Drosophila melanogaster: one gene and its partners. The protein of the gene in region 1 interacts with the protein of each later gene in a pairwise test. Each region holds a gene or a part of one and is shown in the gene's direction. Other genes may lie near its edges.

The links.
Region 2: the proteins of CG14671 (region 1) and Surf4 interact in a two-hybrid assay, tested with the Drosophila melanogaster proteins (one large-scale study listed by BioGRID).
Region 3: the proteins of CG14671 (region 1) and CG14223 interact in a two-hybrid assay, tested with the Drosophila melanogaster proteins (one large-scale study listed by BioGRID).
Region 4: the proteins of CG14671 (region 1) and raw interact in a two-hybrid assay, tested with the Drosophila melanogaster proteins (one large-scale study listed by BioGRID).

Annotation. Positions count from the first base shown.
Region 1 is NT_033777.3:5,563,424-5,566,451, reverse strand, and holds CG14671 (uncharacterized protein), read left to right. Parts: upstream 1-1,636; 5' UTR 1,637-1,726; coding exon 1,727-2,046; intron 2,047-2,111; coding exon 2,112-2,259; 3' UTR 2,260-2,475; downstream 2,476-3,028. Other genes in the region: CG12746 (uncharacterized protein), read right to left, coding at 54-310.
Region 2 is NT_033777.3:15,343,118-15,348,077, reverse strand, and holds Surf4 (surfeit 4), read left to right. Parts: upstream 1-1,901; 5' UTR 1,902-2,118; coding exon 2,119-2,169; intron 2,170-2,925; coding exon 2,926-3,189; intron 3,190-3,254; coding exon 3,255-3,665; intron 3,666-3,727; coding exon 3,728-3,814; 3' UTR 3,815-4,425; downstream 4,426-4,960. Other genes in the region: CG31301 (uncharacterized protein), read right to left, coding at 166-388, 453-614, 673-869, 926-1,284, 1,395-1,773. UniProt on the Drosophila melanogaster protein: Endoplasmic reticulum cargo receptor that mediates the export of lipoproteins by recruiting cargos into COPII vesicles to facilitate their secretion.
Region 3 is NC_004354.4:19,658,937-19,666,007, reverse strand, and holds CG14223 (uncharacterized protein), read left to right. Parts: upstream 1-2,036; 5' UTR 2,037-2,389; intron 2,390-2,640; exon of another isoform or gene 2,641-3,339; intron 3,340-3,714; exon of another isoform or gene 3,715-4,004; intron 4,005-4,399; 5' UTR 4,400-4,485; coding exon 4,486-5,344; intron 5,345-5,409; coding exon 5,410-6,296; 3' UTR 6,297-6,566; downstream 6,567-7,071. Other genes in the region: Ssu72 CTD phosphatase, read right to left, coding at 655-756, 815-1,073, 1,136-1,362; elys, read right to left, coding at 6,763-7,071.
Region 4 is NT_033779.5:8,737,659-8,742,683, reverse strand, and holds the start of raw (raw), read left to right. Parts: upstream 1-2,023; 5' UTR 2,024-2,270; coding exon of another isoform or gene 2,271-2,299; intron 2,300-5,025.

The DNA of each region.
Region 1 (3,028 bases):
ATATATGAGTTATGGACTTTGTCGGCATTTGGAATGAAGCACAAAACACTCACAAGAAGGTAATGACGAGGAGAACGCGAAGAACAACATCTACGGCATCGCTGAGCTTCGCATTAGAGTTTCCTGTTCTGTGGCTTCGTTCCTCTCGCTTTTCTGGCTGAACGGAGCTGCTGTCCGTGTTCATAGCAAGTTCATTGCGCCACATTTCGTCGTCGTTGGTCCTGGTCCTCGATCCTGTATTCCTGACGTCCTCTGCGGAACTGTCGCTGAGGGTTCGCCTGGATTCTTGACCTTCCTTGCTCGCAGTCATTTCGTTAGTCCGTTGGGTATATTCGGTTGTCAGCTTAGGCCTGGTGCTTGTCGCCTAAATAATTGAAGAGATAACCAAACGACGAGTCATTAATGATTGCACTTATGTATGCGGACGGGTAAACTACTTCAGGTGTGGGATAGATTGAAAAGAAGGCCTATCTAACTTTTTTACTTCATGTGCATATGTGCTTATCAGTCGCAGATTGGGAAGTCTATTGATGAAAAAGCTAATGCTTTTAGAGAGTATACCGGAATAGGCAGGCAACCCCCCCTTACTGAAGCGGTGGCATGGGCAAGCCTACGATTTTCGCGATTAGATACAAATAGTGAAAAAAATAAGGCCCCATACGAGACGTATAAATTGAGATAAAAATGTTTCCAATCATCCTAGCGATTGTGCCAGCATTTGCTCACACTAAAACTAGAATGTTGATAAATATTTTTATAGGGTTCGTAGAAGGAATCATAGCATTCGCTTTTCTTTCAGTGCACACTTGGCCACGCTTTTCGTCAATGTTTGTCATCAAACGCGGTTACGTATGGCCAGATAGGTATGGATGTGTGTGGTGCACATATATATATGGTATAGTGAGCGGCTATATCGTATAGGATGCCGATGCCATATGCACACGCGATGGATTTAACAAGCCAGGCGTCAAAAACACTATTGGCTAGCTGACGAGCACCTGCTCCTTGCCTGTGCCGCCAATATTGCCGTTGCGGTCGATTGGATTTTCGCGGCGGCGACTTCGTAGGTCCGCCGTACAACTATCGGGCATTATCACCCGATCCGATGCAATCTCCTGGGATTTGGGTATATTTGAGTTGACTTTGGAACTGTTTGCACTTGGGGCATCCACTCGTTGTTAGTCTGGTGGCGTTAATCCCGACGTGGTTTCAACTTGACTGCTTCCCGATTGCTAATGCTGCTGAATGCTAATGGCAGGGCTTTTTATAAACTTTCTCTAATCTCGCAACAGCATCGTAAAACAAACTGCGAAGCCAGCCCCTTTCACCTCACCCCTCTCCAAAAACTAATGCGCAAGAAAACAACAACAGCTGTTTGCCCTTTTCGTTAGTCGGATTCCCCGAGAGTGTGCAGCTTGACCGTTTACTTGTTAATTGGGCATGACCGTGTTTGTTGCGGCAGTAATTACAATTCATTGCGTAAAACTCGTATGCACGCGACAAAACCAAACTTTTTTCAGCCGTTTCTTTTCGTTTTGATTCAAATCAGTCGGTTGTTAGTTTGCAAATCAGAATAGGGCTGGCGATAACATTTGTTATCGACGGTAGTGCCAACTCGGCGCATAGCAGCGATAAGTCAGGGTTGTTGGTGCGATCATATGATTGAAAAATCTCCGTCAGACCGAAATAATAATAATATATAAATAAAGTTATTCCTCAGCCCGCAATGAGCATTCAAAGAAGCGAAAAGGAGGCCGCGGGCCAGCTACTGGATGACTTGTACCTGGACATGTTCCACCTCGTTGAGGAGCACACCCAGTGTCGGATAAATTTGGAGCGATGTAACGCCAGTGGGGCGATTCTCCTGGCCCGCACTAGATTTCAGCACGGAGGCAGCCAGTGCGTGTCCACGGCCCAGATTCCCACGGAGAACAGTGCCGAGTTTAACGCCCTCTGCCGGGTCGTGGACTCCACGGATGGCGTCTGCATCGAGCGACAGGCGGTTGACAAGTCCAAGGGCTTCGTGGAGCCCCTGCATTGGTTCTCGTGAGCACTGATAAAGCCTGTGTGTATGTGGGTCAATGTGATAACTCACTTACTCCTTTTTCCAGGGTACTGCCACCGATGAGCTTGCGCAATGCTGTTAACAAGTTCAAGGACTGCATAGAGCTGGTCGCCGAGAGCACTAATCTGCAGCGGCAGCTAGGAGAAGCGCTGGATTCGATCACAAAGCTGCGAAGGAGTGCCCTGCTTAGCTAGATACTTATGGCGCGCACACAATCCATACAATGTTAAGAATAAAGTAGATTTGAAAACATTATTGAAACAGCACTCACTGACTCTCGATGAAGAAGATATGCGAGAAATTATTGTTGATCTATCTGAAACGTCAATTTCATAATTATCTGACGTATGATCCCACCTCGTTTAAAAAAACCTATAAATGACGCCCAGAAATGCCTTTTCTTTAGTATCAAATAACAAACATTATTAAAATGGACTACATATTTATATCGAGCTTAGAATTTTTCTTATTTTAGTAAGCCAATTAGTTTTTCACAGAATAAGAAGTCCATAAATTGGCTCCCCTTGTCTTTAGTTCTACTTTCACACGTTTTTCTAACCTTTAAGAGTTAGAAACAAAGATTTTTGCACTGTTATTTAGCTAATTTATACAATATAGACTTCCACAAACCTTATCTTGATATTTTAGTACGCCTAAATTTTAAATATTTCCGCTCAGCGCTCTCATGTGCGAGGCTGCCACTCGGCGAGTGCAGAACCAGCAAGTGGGCAGTACCGCGAATTCTACTCGTCAGCTGTTTGATTTGTCAACCATTTTTCGCTTCGTGTTCTTAGCGAAAATTAAATCGAACGCGTAATTCACTTGTTACATTTGCGGAGTGCATGGTGAGTCCCTATCTCGATGGTGTTTGAGATCCTCCGCGTCCCAAGATCCGTTTCTGAAATAAAACTGGGACAGAAGCTGGGGTTCTAAACCAAAAATCGATAATAAATTGCCAAACGA
Region 2 (4,960 bases), 9.8 Mb from region 1:
TAAAATTGCAGCTATGCTTCTTCTTTCTCGCAGCCATTCAGCACGAAACGTAAACAAAGTACACGGTCAGAAATACTTTTCATATATTTTACATCCTTTATATTAAAACTAAGAATAAAGATCTTTTTATAAGAGTACTATGAGCTGAGATTTTGTTCGTCCTGCCTATTCACATACATCGTTCATCTCCAGGTCGGCCACATGACCAGGAAACAGGTGCGCCTTCTGCATGGGTACGTGCACAAAGTAACGATCACAAAACTTGGGGTTCCGCCGAAGCAGGACCTCAGTCAGTATTGTGCCATAGTCGATCTTCTTGGTAATCAAAAGGCGCCGGCTCTCTCCACTCCCATAGCTAGCGGAACGCAAGCCAAATTGTCTGGCGATTCTGTAAAGGGAAATGCCAACATAATAAGCAATTATTTTTTACGATGTGGGATGACGGTGCTTACTGGTGAAGCGTGGTTCTTTCTTCCTTCGAAAACGTGGGCTCAAACTGCATGTCACGTATATCGTCCGATCTCACATAGTTTTCTATAAGCCGTCGGTAATCAGCGAAATTTCCCTTTGGATTTATTAATCCAAGACCATTACGATTGTTCTTTAGCAGATAACTGAAAATATAAAATAAAATAGTTTCGTTTGGTGATACGTTAAAAGTCGAACTCTTACCATACGGGCTCTTCACGTCCCTGCTTCAGTCGCCCTAAGCCACCGCCTGTCCAGCCCATCAGTCGCATCATGCGATATCCCTTGTTGCTGGGGTCCAATTTGGGATCGCACGGACTGTCGGCGGACTCATTGGTGACTTTGATGTTGACGCCGTCCTTGTTTTTTTCCACCTTGATGGTGTCGCGCGTGGCATTCAGCTGTGTAGCGTAGTACCGGGTTTAATAAGGCATACATTATTTCAGAAATTTCATACCTTAATACTATAGCAATAGGACTGGATCGTCAAATGCGCCTGCTTATAGGCAGCTTTCTTGGCCGCCTTAAGGCTCTCCCCCTGTCCTGTCGCTATTACCTCATCATTTACTAATAATTCGGCGTATTTTGTATTATCGCTTAATGGCTGATCTCGGCTGACACGCTCTTCGTACTTGACATTCGCAATGTTGCAGGAGTTTTGCAGGCAGGCTCGTCCCCCAGCCAAGTACACAATGAGCCGACCGAAACGCAGATCTTGATAGAGATCGACTGGATCTCCGCCGCCAAAACACTGGCGTTTTATGTGTGAGCTATCCTCTGGGGAGCTCGTCGAGGGAAGGGGTGGAGCCCGGCGCCCTAGTAGTTGGAATTAGGCATTAGGCTTTGGTCTCTCTGGCTCGTATAGTTACTAGTGATAAAAAGAATCTTCTCTCGCCTATGGGCCCACTAATTGTTCAGTCGTCTACCTTTGGCGCGCTGCTCCGCCGCATCCGACGCCGAGACAAATGTTCTCTTCAGGCGCTGTTCCCGTTTCTGACGGAAATCCGCTGCGATTTCCTTGGACAACTCGGCCACCAAAAGCATCGTCGCGCTTGGATACTTGCAGCCCATGAACTCCATGTTGACGAACGTTTGGGCCAGGCACACCAGCCGGTCCTCCTCAAAACGATCCTTGTGGGCCAGCATGAAGCTGCGTCGCAGATCCCAGTGCTCATCACTTTCGTATTCCGTCTTGTAGCTGTCTACATCCCAGTCCAAGGAAAATTCCCCGGATCCATAGCCGGCATCATCCTGTTTTTTAACTTTGACTTTCTTCTGCTTTGGCTTGGATTGTTGAACGGACATCTTTACAGGGAAAATAAATAGCGTTCAACTTGTCAAATAAAATGAGCACAGGCACGCTTGTTTTTTGATTGCTGCTTTCCCATTCACAGCGAATTATCAATTCGATTGGCCATGTGTTGCCCATTGGCTATCGATAACGCAGCGATAACGATAGGCCCCATCACGGCTATACTTTGTCGTGCGTGTGTGTTTTTAAGTTCCTGCCTTTTAATTCATGATTTTTTGGTAACTTAACAACAATTTGGAGAGCGACGCGACGCCCAAGAAGTCAGAAACGAATTGCCAAAGTGTCTCCACAGACGATTGCCCCAAAGTGAGAGATCGGATCAGCCCAAAGCAGCCAACATGAGCATACCCAACGAGTACATAGCGAAAACGGAGGATGTGGCGGAACAGGTAAGATATATTAGGTTCCACTGCCAAAAAGAAGTCCACCAGGACTCCATATCCACCGCAGGAAGCGTCTTCCCGATGCGCCCCAAATGGCGTTTGCGGGGAAGCCCTGGCAGCTGCAAACTGGGAAAACTGCCAACGTCACCCAAACGCGGCAAAGTTCGAGGGTCTTGGCTGCATATAATCACGATCCGCTGACATGGGGGCAACGTGCTGGGCATTTGCTTCCAATAAGAATCTGGGTGCAACCCAGATGATGGGTTTGCCTTGTACTCCAGTACCGCAATTGACAGTTGTTGCGTCTGCCGCAGGGAAAACTCTCTCTCTCGCTGCTTATTTTCTACCTGTGTGCTGATGCGTATGTGTCTGTGTGTGTGTGCGAGAGAGCTGTCTCCGCAAGTGAAAGTGTTGAAAAAGAAATAGCGGGCAGCTGGACGCCAGCGGCCAGGTCGAGTTCCGTAATAGTTGGGCTAGAAAGCCAGGTGAACTTGCTCGCGATTTACATACATACATGTATGAAGTTACATTGACAGCCGGGCCAAAACCCGTTAGCTGGCAGATAGCAATCGAGAGATACTAGCGTTTAGAGACACGTCACAGCCAGCGGGCGATTTCTAGCGACTACGCGCAAGCCACGCTCAACGGCATTGTATATTTAAATCCCTTATCACCTTGTCAGTAGTCCCCTTATCACCATATCAGCACCCATCCCAATTGCTCTCAACTCAACCAGAACCAATCGAACACTCATTTTTGCAGGTCATCAAGCGCGGCAAAAATGTGCTGCCCACAGTGGCCCGTTTGTGCCTCATCGCCACGTTCTTCGAGGACGGCCTGCGCATGTACATCCAATGGAACGAGCAGCGGGAGTACATGGACATGAGCTGGGGCTGCGGCAAGTTCCTGGCCACCGTCTTTGTGCTCGTCAACCTGTTGGGCCAACTGGGCGGCTGCGGCATGGTGATGGCCAGATTTAAGGTCGACATAGCGGTGGGACTGCTTTTCTTCATTGTGGTGTTGCAGGTGAGTCTGCATTTATATCAGCCAGAAGCAAAAGCCTTGACGTTAACCCGATCCTCTGTTTGCAGACCGTTGCCTACTCCATTCTGTGGGACTTCCAGTTCTTACTGCGAAACTTTGCACTCATCGGAGCCCTACTGCTCGTCCTGGCGGAAGCCAGGATAGAGGGGCGCAGCCTGTTTGCCGGCGTGCCATCGATGGGCGAAAACAAGCCCAAGAACTTCATGCAGCTGGCGGGCCGCATCCTGCTGGCCTTCATGTTCATCACTTTGATCCGCTTTGAGCTGAGCGTATGGCAAGTTATACAGGACATCATCGGCTCCATTCTGATGGTGCTGGTCGTGCTGGGATACAAGACGAAGCTGTCCGCCCTGATTCTGGTGGCTCTGCTTACGATCCTGAACCTGTACCACAATGCCTGGTGGACCATTCCGTCCTACAAGCCACTCAGGGATTTCTTGAAATACGACTTTTTCCAGGTTAGCAGGTTTACAATATCTTTCGCACGAATTTGTGTTATTTTTACGCATTCCCTTCGCAGACTCTCTCGGTGATCGGTGGCCTCCTCATGATCGTGTCCTTGGGCCCTGGCGGCGTTTCCATGGACGAGCACAAGAAGAAGTGGTAGAGGCCAGGCAACGGTCGCTCCTTGAACGAAACACTTTCAACATTTGACTTTTACCGTGTTTTACTCCTTCTGAGAAATGTTAGTTAGGAATTACCATAAAATGGGACAACAACAGGAGCAGCATCAGCAGCACAACACCGGCACGTATAAGAACTTGACAATTTTCAATAAAGGGACTTCCGCAATACCCCTCTCCAATGGCTCACTTATTGGGATCGCCCCAACCCAACTCCAAATCCATTCGCGCACATTCAACGACAAACTTCGACATTTTAAACATTTAGGACATTTTATTTTTGTACATAAAGAACAGGCAAGAAAAAAGTTTGGTCACTTTCGAGCCCACCCCAAATGAGAGACATAACTGATTTTATATCTATGCTTGTCAATATCCATGTTTTTTGCCGATTTTTTTATATGATTTGTACACTCTTATAAATAAGTTGTAACCTTGGTGTTTGCCTTTTGTTGATTGCTAGAAGTTTGAATATGAAAACGATGTATAAAATATGATGTACCAATTGACAATGATTTGTTTCTTTCGTTTATAAGCAAAAGTGTAATAGAATTAAATTGTAACGTTTTAATAAACATAAAGATGAAAAACCGAGACTTGTGCATTTTAAACTTGGCGCCAATTGGCCGATAAATGGTTAATGCTTTTGTTTGTTTACCAGCACTAAGGCACAGCTGACTCGCAACGTCAACAAAGAGGGAAATGCCCATTCTTCGACTACTGGGTACCCCGTACTAAGTTAGCTGCTAGTGAATCCTGCATAACTAACAATAAATAACTTTATTGCAAAAATAAGAGCATAAACCTTATACAAGTAGTACGATTAAATTTTGTAAATAGACACAAAATATAATGATAAAAAAAATGATTAGGCACCGTTTTGAATGGTAATGTTAGTGAATTAACTAAATATAAAACAATATATTGAAAAGCCCTGACCTCTCCAACAAGGCAGTGAAATGTCAACGGCCTCACTTTTTTTTAAAAACTTGAAATCAAATCTGAAAATAGGGATGAGTACATTTGATTAATTTCCAAAAATTGTTGCAATCAGTTCAAATCAATTGCAATACACAATGCACACAAGTAACTTATAGGGGCGGAAGTGTTTTCTGCAGCTGGCGACAAAC
Region 3 (7,071 bases), on another chromosome or scaffold:
GACCGTTCCGCCCCTGTGTGGCTCTCTGGCGTGCATGCTCATTCACACAATCACGATGCGAGATTTCACTTTATGTGAATCGAATCCGAATCTGAGTCCGAATCGGACTCAAAGCCGGGCGAAGAGAGCGGCAGAGCGGCCGAACGGGAGAACGGGTCGGAGTCAGATGGTCGGCGCCTTCGCCAGCTGAGGGAAGCGAGAGCCTGTGATAAGACCCCCAGTCGACGGGCGAAATTACAAGGAATACGGACACGTACACATACTACTACAGGGGTTTTGGGGGGCAGCCGTGTGGAAATGGTCGTCATTGGTTGTGTGTTATATTCCAATTCATTAGCCAGTTGCTTGCATGTGTGGTGTTGATGTGGATTACGAATCAGGTGTTTGGAGTATGCGAGTGTGTGGGTGCTGGTCGTTGTTGGATGTGCTTTCGCTGCAGCGATGGCCCCTCTCTATTTACAGTATTCTTATATGCTAGGCTACCAATCCGGAACCCAGGATCCGCACGCGCTGCGCGCAATGCCCGACGTCCTATGCTCTGCGATCGCAGCCCCTGGGGTACAAGATCGAGTGACTCGGCTGGAGCGCGTCGGGGCTACGGGAGTCTGGTGTTGGTGCTGGAGCTGGACACGAACTGTTAGCAGACGTCGGTCGTCAGTAGAAGAGCACCGAGTGCAGGATGACCCGCTTGCGGCGCTCCTCGAACTCCTGGATCAATTCGTCGATGTCGTTGTCCAGGTCCGTGGACTTGGCCATCTGCAAAGGCACAAGAATCGTTGGGCGAATTGAGGGAATGGACGACAGATGATCATACCATGTTTATCATGTCTGTGATGACAAAGGCGCCCATTAGCGCATCTTCAGCGTTGTCCACCACATCCACGTTGAGAACGTGCACGGGTCGGTTGTCCACGGATTCCATGGACTCCATGTGCATCACCACCAGGTCGTAGACGCGCTCTTCCACAGTGACGATGATGTCGAACTGCTCTTTGGTGTCCTGAAACCGTTCCGGGCACTTCTTTATGCGACGATTGCGGTCGAGCATGTGTAGCAGGCCGTTCTGTGTGTAGCTGTAAACAGGACGAAAGGGCAGGGATTAGCCAACGGTAGGCCGGAAAAACGAATAACTCACAACTCCTTGTCCTTGGACTCCAGGTCGCGGTAGATGTCCTCGTATTTGGTGCCAAACTCGTAAACATTCGGCTTGTCGAACGCCATGCCCGGTAGCTTGACGCGCTCGCCGGTGCCGTAGGAGCGCACATTGAAACCCTTCTTGGCCAGAAAGTTGTGCGCCTCCATTGAGCGATTCATGTTCGAGGAACAGACTACGGCGACGGCGAGCTTGCTAGGATCAGTCATGTCTCTTTCTCTTTGGCAGTGCGTTGCAATCGCAGTCGTCGAAAAATATGTTCATCAAATTGGAGATGGGATGGCAAAACCACGAGCACGAATATCGATACGATATATTCACGAACATACATTTAACGTGTTAATCTGAAAACACGCGATTTAAAAAATTCTGCAGTGTTTAATTGAACACGTTGACTTCACGTTCAAAATATTCAAAAAACCTAAAAAAAATATACGTTATAACAACTGATAATTAGTACGGAATATTTAAAACTAATTATGTAAAAGCCTCGAGTTTTTGAAACATTTTTGGCCAAACAAATACATAACATACATAGCTACTTAACATAATTAAAGTTCGAGGAGTCCTGCAGCATTAAATATGATCAAACTAACAGCTGGCAATTACCTATCGTAATGTCTTAAAACGTATTTATAATCCTGCAACTTGTATAAAATGAAATATCTCATACTACCCTTAGCATAAAAAAGGGCTCCCCCTGGTTAATATCAATGTTATATCGAATAATTCCAATTTATTAAATCTATTTTAAATTCGAAATATTTTTCTGGACTCCAGCTCCACTACTATTGACACTTTCAACTAGTTATATCGATTTCTTGCCGCCAGTTTACGAACTTTTCAACACTGTCGACCAGTTCGACGCAGTCTGGCAGCGTTGGCGGTCAATTCTTATTTTTGAATCCAACCGAAGTGAATTTGGATACGAAAAGCGCCAAAACTGAGTTAATCTAACTATAAGTGAATTTTGTTACTAAAGCGCGAATTTGAACTTGAATTGAAAGCGGCTTGCAACACCCAATGGCGAATTTCGCCGTCCCAAGCGCATAGGCAACCGCAGTAGTAACCGACAACAACCTTTCAGTTTGGAGCTCGTGGAATGCGGCTGAGCAACTTGGAGCCGTTGCCTCCATTCTTTACCTGTGTGTGGAGTGAGGCAGGAGGACTAGAAGCACCATCGCCACCAGCGGCACCACAACCAGCAGCAGCAGCAGCCGCCGCATCGCGTGTGTTGTGAGTTAAGCAGGTTTGCGGCACAGTGGGTCGCATTGCTTGGCACTTGCGACAATATCAAAACAACCGTTTCTCCCCTTTCCAAACAATTAACAGATTGAAAAGCGTCTAAACTTCTTTTCACCTTTTGCTAACAAAAACCTATTTCAAAAAATATTCCCATTGAACCCAATGCCACGTCATTCTTGCTTGATAATTTAAAATAACCTTTATTTGTTTATTTTATATTAAACCGTAATTGTAGCGTCTTTGGGCCAAAAACATTTTAAAGTAAGCTTATTGTATATCATTTTATATTATACTTTGACAAAAGTGACACAACACAATTCATATACGTTTTGGATATCATTATACGGGAATAACATTGGGACAAATCTTGTAGAAAAAACAAAAAATATTTGTGCTAAAAAGCTACCATTTTGGCCATGATGTTCCACTGTGCAAAGCGGCGTTTGGAGCTGGAATTGATATTGGAATTGGCTCGTTCCACTGCTCACCTGTCCGTGTGAGCAGCGTGTGCATGAGTGGGTGAGGTGAGAGGAAGAGACAGAGACACACAGCGAGAGCGAGAGAGAGAGGGAGAGAGGACCCAACTGGTTGGTCGAATAGCTGCCGGCAGTACCGAAGTTCCTGAGATCCAATATTAGTCGTACTTTGTCACTCGATCGGTCAGGGCGTCGTTGTAGCCTTCGTTGTCGTCCACTTGCCGCCAAATCGGAACGCCTGCTGGCGGTGCTTGGTTATTGGGATTGGGATTGGACATCGCGTTCGGTGCGGGTGAGGGAGGGGAGCAGGCGGCGGAGGAAATAGCTCCCGCGGCATTTGCCACCGCGCTATATCGATCCGCCAATTAGGGAGTGGAATCCGGCGCTTTCTTCGCTGGACAACGACCATGTAAAGGTCACAGGTCAAGAACGGAAACTGTAGTACCAAAAAAGAAGAAGTCGGAGGTAAACCCGTTTTACAACCTGCCAATTGCAATTTGTCTTGGGTTCTTTTAGTTTTTACTTACATATGTACGAAACCAGGTGTTTTTCGTTATTTTTACACCACACCACCAGTCGCAAGATATTGCATGAAAATGCATTAAATGCAAGGCAAAAGTAGTTAATTCATTATCGGTTCTTAATGTGGACTATCTACGTACATAATTACACTCAACGTTCCATTTTTTTTTTTTTTTTTTGGGACAAAACGGGTCTTTAAAGCAGTTACATTCGTTTAAAAATAGTTTTGAATACCTTGAAGAAGTCGTCTCCGCTTTGATGACACCTTTAAGTGCATTTTCTTGGGGCTATGGAAAACTGTTTGCTCAGCTCAAAAAGCTTTTCCGAGTAACAACCAGGTTTCCGAGGAACCAGCCATGAACCATGGGAACCTATCTATCGGATCACGGACCTTGAAACCAAAAGTAGAACAGATATCTTCAAAGACACATATGTATGTACATATATGCAGATCGATATTGTCAGTTCAGTCACAAGATCTAAAGCACCATTAAGAAACTGCAATAGGAAAAGCCTAGTAGCGAGTATCTTTTGATCCTGAAGAAGTTTTCCTACGAAATAAGATGCTTTTTCTATCAAATTCACATCTAATTTAAAAGTGCTTCTAGGTAAGATTAAGTACTTAGTACTTTAGATTTATTTTTTCGAGCCTCGCTTGCTTTTGCTTTTATTCCCGCCATTAGACGCTGGTGGAAAGTTCTTCGCCATCCGTTAATTGCACAATACATGCGATGCACAATTTCCACATAAATGCATGTACATACATTTGTATATAATATATATGTATGTATATATAAATGATGGGAAAGTTTTGCGCATGCGCAGCCACTGGCGAAATGAAAGTGCTTATGATGGGGCGCAGTTTTTTCTCTCTCTGCAGACAAATACCGTTAATACCGTTGCAGTTTGCAGTTACCAACACATAGCTAATATGCAACACAGTTAATCTCTTGAACTTTCCACTTTACTGAAACACATCTAATGCCAGCAATGCACTTCGCAGGTCGACTAGTCCTGCTGCAGCAACAGCAACTGATCCGTGACGCCCAGTTCAGCATGTGACCGGAGTGGAGGACCAATCCGCCGGAAATGCTGAAGCACGCCTCGACGACGAGCAGCACCGCTGCGACCAGCGCCACCAGCGCTGCAGTGGCCATCAACCCGCTGTCCACTCTACTGGTCAATAGCTGCAACAGCAACCCGAACAGCAACAGCAGCAGCAGCAACAACCACACAGGAGGCAGTGGCAGTGGCCACAACACACCCCCAACGGTGGAAGCGGAAGCGAGCATCGGTATTGGAATTGGAGTTGCAACCACCGCGACCACAGCAGGCACGGCCGGCACCACCAATGGCAATGGTGGCTCACCGACCCCAGCAGCAGCTGCTGTGGCCAGCACCGCGCGCAACATTCACCTGCGGCCGCCGCAGCCGCTGAATATATCCGCCCTGAATGCGTCCGTTTCGAGCACGCTGCTCAACGAGGGCACAGGTGCCATGGGCGGAGGAGTTGCTGGCGGAGTAGGTGCGGGACGGGGTTGCGTGGGCAATGCCAATTCAACGCTGCTAAACATTGCCACGCCCAGTACGCCGCTCAAGCCGCTCACCCCGCTCACGCAGTTGACGCCCAACGGGCACTTTCTGGGCAACGGGAGTGTGCATCATCACACCTACACCAACCAGCACATCCTGGCCAGCCACCAGCAGCAGCAACAGCAGCATCAACATCATCATCAGCAGCAGCAACACCACAACCACCACAACCACCACCACCAACACCAACAAACGAACCATGCGCAAGCTCAAAGCCAGACACACAATCTTAGCCAGTTGCCGCAGAACTACAGGAACTTCAGCCACCCGAGCACGAATCCTGTGCGCCACAAGCTGCCCAAGTCGGGCCCATCACCGCGCGAGGCCCTCACCAGCCTGGGTCTGCTCTGCCTTAGTAAGTTCATCCGATATGGTGACGGGAGAGCGTCAAGTAATGCCTGTTTTTTTTTTTTTCTGCAGTTTCCCTGCTTCTGGCGCTGCTCTCGCTGATTTTCCTCCTAAGGATATCACCGAATGGACGCGAGGACGCCGTGGGTCGGGGCGCCGGTGGCGAGGACTTTATTGTAGTTTACGACGTCACCCTGGCACTGGGCGCCCTCTCCCTATCGCTGAACCTGTGCTGCCTACTGGTTTGCGCCATCCAGTTCCTGTTCGCCGTCAAGCTGCGCGAGCCGGCCTTCGAGGGTCGCGATAACCAATACCTGGTCAAGTCCAGTGCCAGCCGCACGTGCGCTGTCAGCGGCTTCTTCATCTCCATACCGGTCTTTCTGACCGGCCTGATCCTGTACACCTTTAGTCACTTCCACTCGACGCCGGCGATCGTGACCAGCCTGCTGATTGGAGTGGGCATAGTATTCTGCGGCGGCGCCATGGTGCACAACGTGTTCGTGTGGCAGCGCGAGAAGACCATTAGCTACCGTGGAGCACCGCTGTCCCACAACTTGTCGGTGATCTCGGCTGGCCAGCTGCCGGCGACGCTGCCTGTGTCCATGCCACTGCCACCGGGCCCGTTCCACACGTACCAGGCCGCTCATCAGGGGCACCAGAGCCACCTGGTGCCGCCCTCCGTGACGGCGGTCTCGCCGAATCACTCCCACGGCAGCTTTAACCCACTTCTCCTTGGTGGAGGGGGCGGCGGAGGCGGAGCACTGGGTGCCGTTAACTCCTCATTTCTGGTGCGTCCAGCCACTGCCACACCACCGACGCCCACGCCCAGAACACTGGCGAATAGCAGCTGCCTAACAGCAGGTCGCGAGGCCAGCGGATCGGTCAGCCCGGGCATTCCGCCAACGCTGGACATGAGCAACATCACCGTCCTCCTACACGAGCTCTCCACGCTCGTCTAGATCCGCTTAAGCTGCGGACTTGACTGCGCACAGACTTACAGACGATATCCACCGCACGCCCGCATCTCTTGCCGAATCCTAGCTGTAAGAACGACCATTGTAAATACCTGTACATATGTATGACTCCGAACCATCTAACGAATACATCTTTGTAAGCTAAAGAACTGCATCGCCATTATCATGAAATGTAAGTAACCCGTTTGTGCTCCTCCTTAACTTCAGATCCGAAAGGATTCGGATCGGAGCTCAATAATAATAATCTTTATTTTGAAAAATCCGTCTGCTTATAAAACTCAAAAGTGTTGGGTGGATGCTATCAATTCCACATTAACTTCAATTTATTTAAACACTCAAACTAATGCCAAACTAAAATTAAAAATATTAAACGTAAGCAAAGTAAAAAATAAAAATACAGTGCCTTCCGAGCCGATTCTGAGTCTGCTGATCCGGTGATCCGGGTGCATAACTAATGCTCCGACTTGGAGGTGCGACGCAAGCGCGGACGTAGCTCCCGGTTCTGCGTGCTGGCGGCAGAGTTGGACTTAGAGCCGGTCCTAGAACTGGAGGCTTCCGAGCGAAGGTCACCTGTGCCATTCGCAGACTGATCGCTCAGTTCCGAGATGCGTCGCCTAGCGGTGCGACGGAGACGCGGCTGCTCCTCCTCTGGTGCAGTTGAATCGGGTACATCTATGGGAGCATCGATCGGAGTCGGAGAGACGGCGACTGGTGACTGGACGCCTGAGCTCGTCTTGCGCGATCTGACCCCCGCACGAGC
Region 4 (5,025 bases), on another chromosome or scaffold:
TTTGACAATATTTATTTGAGTTGCTACAAGCCACGGCAACGGCCACGCCCACAGTCCCGCCCCCTGCGGCATACCACCCCCGCCTCCCTCTTCGCACACTAGAACCACTGCCGCTGGGTAATTTGATTTCCTCGACGCTGCCATCATCTGCATCCTTGACGTCGGACACGTTTCTGCCTAATGGAGTTGCTCGAGTGGCGTGAATTTCAATTAAATTAAATCAAAATGTTGCATTTTTTATTAAGCCCATTAGCGGCACACACGGAAAACCCGCCCCCTCAGAGGACCGCCCGCTGGCCCCTAGTTGGTTAAATTAAGTTAAGATACCACCTCGTCAGTGCGAAAAGAACTTGTATCTTAATGTGCATAATGAAGTGCCAGACTTGACTTGCCATCCAGGAACACCTGGATGTGCCAATATAAATCCGGTGACTGCACTGATCCTACTGCTGCGAGGAAAAGCTATCGGGAAAATCCCAGTTTAGATGAAAATGGGGCCATTCAATAACTGAATTGCTATTTTTGCTAGCAAAATGATTTTAAGGGATTTACTTATTCAATTCATAATTATTTATAAATAGCGAATTCTTAATTTATAGTTTTATATATACACACCTTTTAAATGATTTATGTAAGTTTCTTATTAATAGATATTTATTTACAAGAAAATGTTAAGGAAAAGGCTGCTGTTTTTCCGACTGTTTCTGCGAAAAGCCAAATATCAGTGCACAAGAAGAGTTGGTGGGCGAAGAAAAGTGGAAGTGGAGTTTCCTATTGTTGCACATGCATTAAGAGTAATGCTGCAGTGCTCGGAAAATGCTGGAAAGAGGGTGAAAATGCTACTTTGAGTGGCAATAAACAATGCATAATGAGTTGAGAGTCGCGTTATTATTGTTGCAGCCCGTGGCTGAGACTGTTCATTACTCAAACAGGTAATTTAAATTAAGCCAAAACAATACGCCAAGGTGGCATTTAAAGTAGGTGCAAAACGCATTTCGCCATTAGGAAATTGCCAATTAAGAAGCAAACACTTCTGGGTCCATTCATTACTGCAACACTTGCAGGCAAATCATTTAATTGTCTTTTAAAAATATACTTAAATCAGCAGAGGCGGCAAAGTATTACAAGTCTTCATGCACTTTCTCAGATATGACTAGCCACAAGCACTTAATTCTTGATATCACTTGGAAGTGGCACTTCCAAATCAAAATTATATACATTTAGTAAATAAGAACTATTCGAAAAGACATTTTTCATTTAAAAAGGGAACATTAAGATTTTACTAATTTTTCTATTATCTTAAAGAAAAAATTTTCTAATTTCCACATTCCGTATTTTGTTAATACAACATTTCATTAATAATAATGCAGATATACCCACGATGTCAGGATTTTAAAATAATCTTGAATAATTTGCAAAAGTTAGATCAGAGCAAATATAACATAGATTTAAATTTGTGATACTGTTACCTAACAGAATTTTACAATGTTATTGAAATGTTAATTTTAACACAAAAAAGTGCTCTTCTGCTAATTTTTACATGCACCCAAGACAACAACCATCGAATACAACTGAGTATACGTTCGTTAAAATTTTGGTGGCAACGCTTGTATTCCTAATCTATTAAGATGGCAAGGCTCGTTATCTGAAGAATTTACATTGGCAGCATCAAACATCATTAACTTTGAACTGTTATACAATGGTGCCAATGTAACTTTTTCTCGACAAATGAATTTTGTACTTATTTACCCAAGTGTATATGGAAACAATCAGGTACCGAAAATGTGAACTCTTACAATATATTTTACCTCTTTTTCATCTTAAGTTGTTTTTTTATAAAAGATATCAGCACTGCTGCAAAGACAGCATGCTTTAATATATAATATATATTAATTAAATAAGTTTCACAGTTTTTACGTGGTGTTAACCAACTTACAAAATTCACTCACAAATGTTAACATTCTGTACAAGCATTAGTGTTACCAAATACTCGATAGTATTTTCGCCGTTCCACCAGCTGGTCACACCAGAGACGAATTTAGAAATCTAAAGAGAACCCAACAGTTTCCTAATGCAAATACAATAAACTAATTGTTTAAAATGTGACAACAGTGAACCAAATGCTTGCTGAGTAATAAACCAAAGGATGTTTTGTTTTTTTCTAAAACGTGCCAAGTGAATCGGCTCCACGCAAATGAGAGTGCGGTCTGAAAACAATGGAGCTGCCGTAAAGAATTGATTAAACAAAATAGTCGAGAAGAGAGCGCAAAATGCACAAAATGGTTAAATTATTCCTCAGGTAATTTCAGTCCCAACAAAAACAGCATGTGCCAGATTGCTTTCGTGCTCTTATTGCTGTTGTTGTAGTTCTAGACTCTCTCTTTGCGCTTTAATATTATGAATGACGTAAGCGCGCCTCTTTGGTAGCAATACAAAAGCAATAACAACAATTTGGTTTTGTTGCTTTTGTAAACAAGGAAAATAACAGAATGGTTTTGTACCGCTCGCGTGTGTGTGTGCATAGGTGAGTGGGGAGCTCACTCACCTATGCACACACACACACAAACGCAGGTAAAAGTGGCGTCGTTGGATTTTTACTTGGAAAACGTGTTCGAACTATAAAGAGAAATAGTAAGAGAGAGCTGAGCAGTCTAGCGCTCTTTGCAATGTTATTTCTTTTTTTGGTCAATGACCTAAGCTTTTTCGTCCGTTAGTTGAATTCGTTTCTTTCGCCAATTTCCGTGCTTTTGTGTGCGAGTTAAAAAACTTGGTCTATTTTCACAAAAATCATTGTTTACACTTTGTTGATGTGTAGGTAATTTTCCCAGGCTTTCTTAGCCTCATTTTTCAAGAAAAGGAGTAAACACTAAGTTGGAGGCCAAAGTTGTGAATGGTAAAAAAAAAACGTAATTTTTAAAGAAATTTAAAAAAAAAACTGCCAGCAGTAAACAACGTACAAATCAAAAGAGAATAATTGAGAATACTATAATTAATAGTGTTGTATACATGAAATGTTCAAGAACTTTATTTCCCGAACACATAAAGCATGAAATGAGTCTTCATAGTGTTTCCTTATATCTCTGAAAACAAATAGTATATCACTCGATCATCCAATTGCCTTGCTGTTGTGACATCTTGACAGTAATTAAGTTTATGCACTCAATTGTCACAAAGCCGGAAACAAAAGTGCACAAAGATGTAACATGTTGGTACATTTTTTGCAATGACAACAGCACGCAAATTAGTAAACATTACCGGCCAAATAACAATGCACTGTTTGGAAAATAAAGTAAATATTATGAAATAAATATTATTGTTGTTATACAAAACAGAAAGCAATTACGGAGAAGCAGTAACTGCAGCACAGGTATATTTGCATTCGTGATAACTTTTTGGTAAATAAATTATCTAAGCAATAAAAATGTTTTAAACTTGTAGGATTTTATTTTGGCTTATAAACATAAATACACTTAAAAATAAGTTTTAGGTCGCTTGTTTCAGTTTGTTTCAGAATGTTTTAAGAGCACCGTATAAAATTTTCGAAATTTTCCACAATCTTGAACGGTACTTCTGCGTATTAAGATTAATTGTTTGGCCTTTTATCAGTCTATTTCACTGGAATAAATATTTAACTAGTACTCAGATTTTGTAGGGCACTCTATATGCGGTGTACTTTGCTGACCGAAAAAAAGAGAGATACAAATGTTGAGAATGCGAGGGAAAACGCTTTTGTGATCTTCTTGATTTAAAAATTTTAACGCCAGTGCTGACCGAGCAATTAAAATGTAAACAGGCGGGAAATGAATAAGCGTGCCAGGGAAAAATAAAATGAAATCCCAAAATATTTACAATCATGCAGCAGCAGTTGCACATAAAAACCCAGGAAGAGAAGAACGGAATCTTAACGTGTATGCTTTCGAAAATATACTTGTACCTTAAAATGGCAAATTGGCAATAAGAAACCGACGCGACATTAATATGGCTAGGTAAATACAAAGGCATCATTACCGAAGGTCGTTTTTGTTTGCGTGCGATAAACTTTTTTTCTTTCGACTTTATAGCAAATATTCACGCATACAAACAAACCCGAATGCTTCCCTGTGTTTGCGATTGGTATTATCTGTGTAGGCCTTTGTTATCCAACCATTTGCTTATCTGGGCACGGCTGTCAATGCGTGTGTTTGTGATGGATACTTGATTGAATTGTTGTCCGTATGTTAGCGCCTAAAAAACAATCGACAGCCGCTTATCAGCTGGCAGAAACATAAATAAAATTTCCTCAAACTGAAGCCGAAGGTAAAATGCTCTCTAAATCAATTGCTATTATTAAATAGTATTAGCTTAAGAAGCAAGAAGGTTACGTTTCAAGGGTATACAATAGTCGTTAGCCATGTCATCGTAAAGTCACTGCCCCTCCTCGCACACATTCAAACAGTTTGTCAATCAACCGACAATCGGTTGCCAATCAAACAACAAAAATTCGTGGGTGAGGTGAGTTCTAGATTTTCTTTGGTTAGAGGATGGGAAAATCTGTCTGAAAAGTGGGACAGCAATTGACTGACTAATCGAACACATTGTTTAAGTCAATTATTTCCATTTAAGCTACATGATTCGTTTCGAAAATATTTCACAGTATATGGATGTTTTGAATACTTAGTAAAAATATATAAAATTCGCAATACTTACTTTCAATGTATTTAAAATATCAATTGGATTGGACATAATTTACACTTGTTGCATTCCTTTAACCTTATCCACAAATTAACAAAGTCCAAATTGTTTTCCATTTGAAGTACAAATATTATTGTTTTGTATTTTGTTATCTTATCTAATTCTTCTGAAATGACAAGTTATCCAATAGCAAATATTTGATTACTACAAACTATATTGTAATTATGCAGTAATTTTGTTTTTCCCAACTAAAGATGTTAGGAAAATAGAAACAATCACAACTAGGAATCACTTTCTTATCTGCATCTTCTGTTGTGTTTTGTGTGTCAAGTATAAAAGTATCAACAATATGTT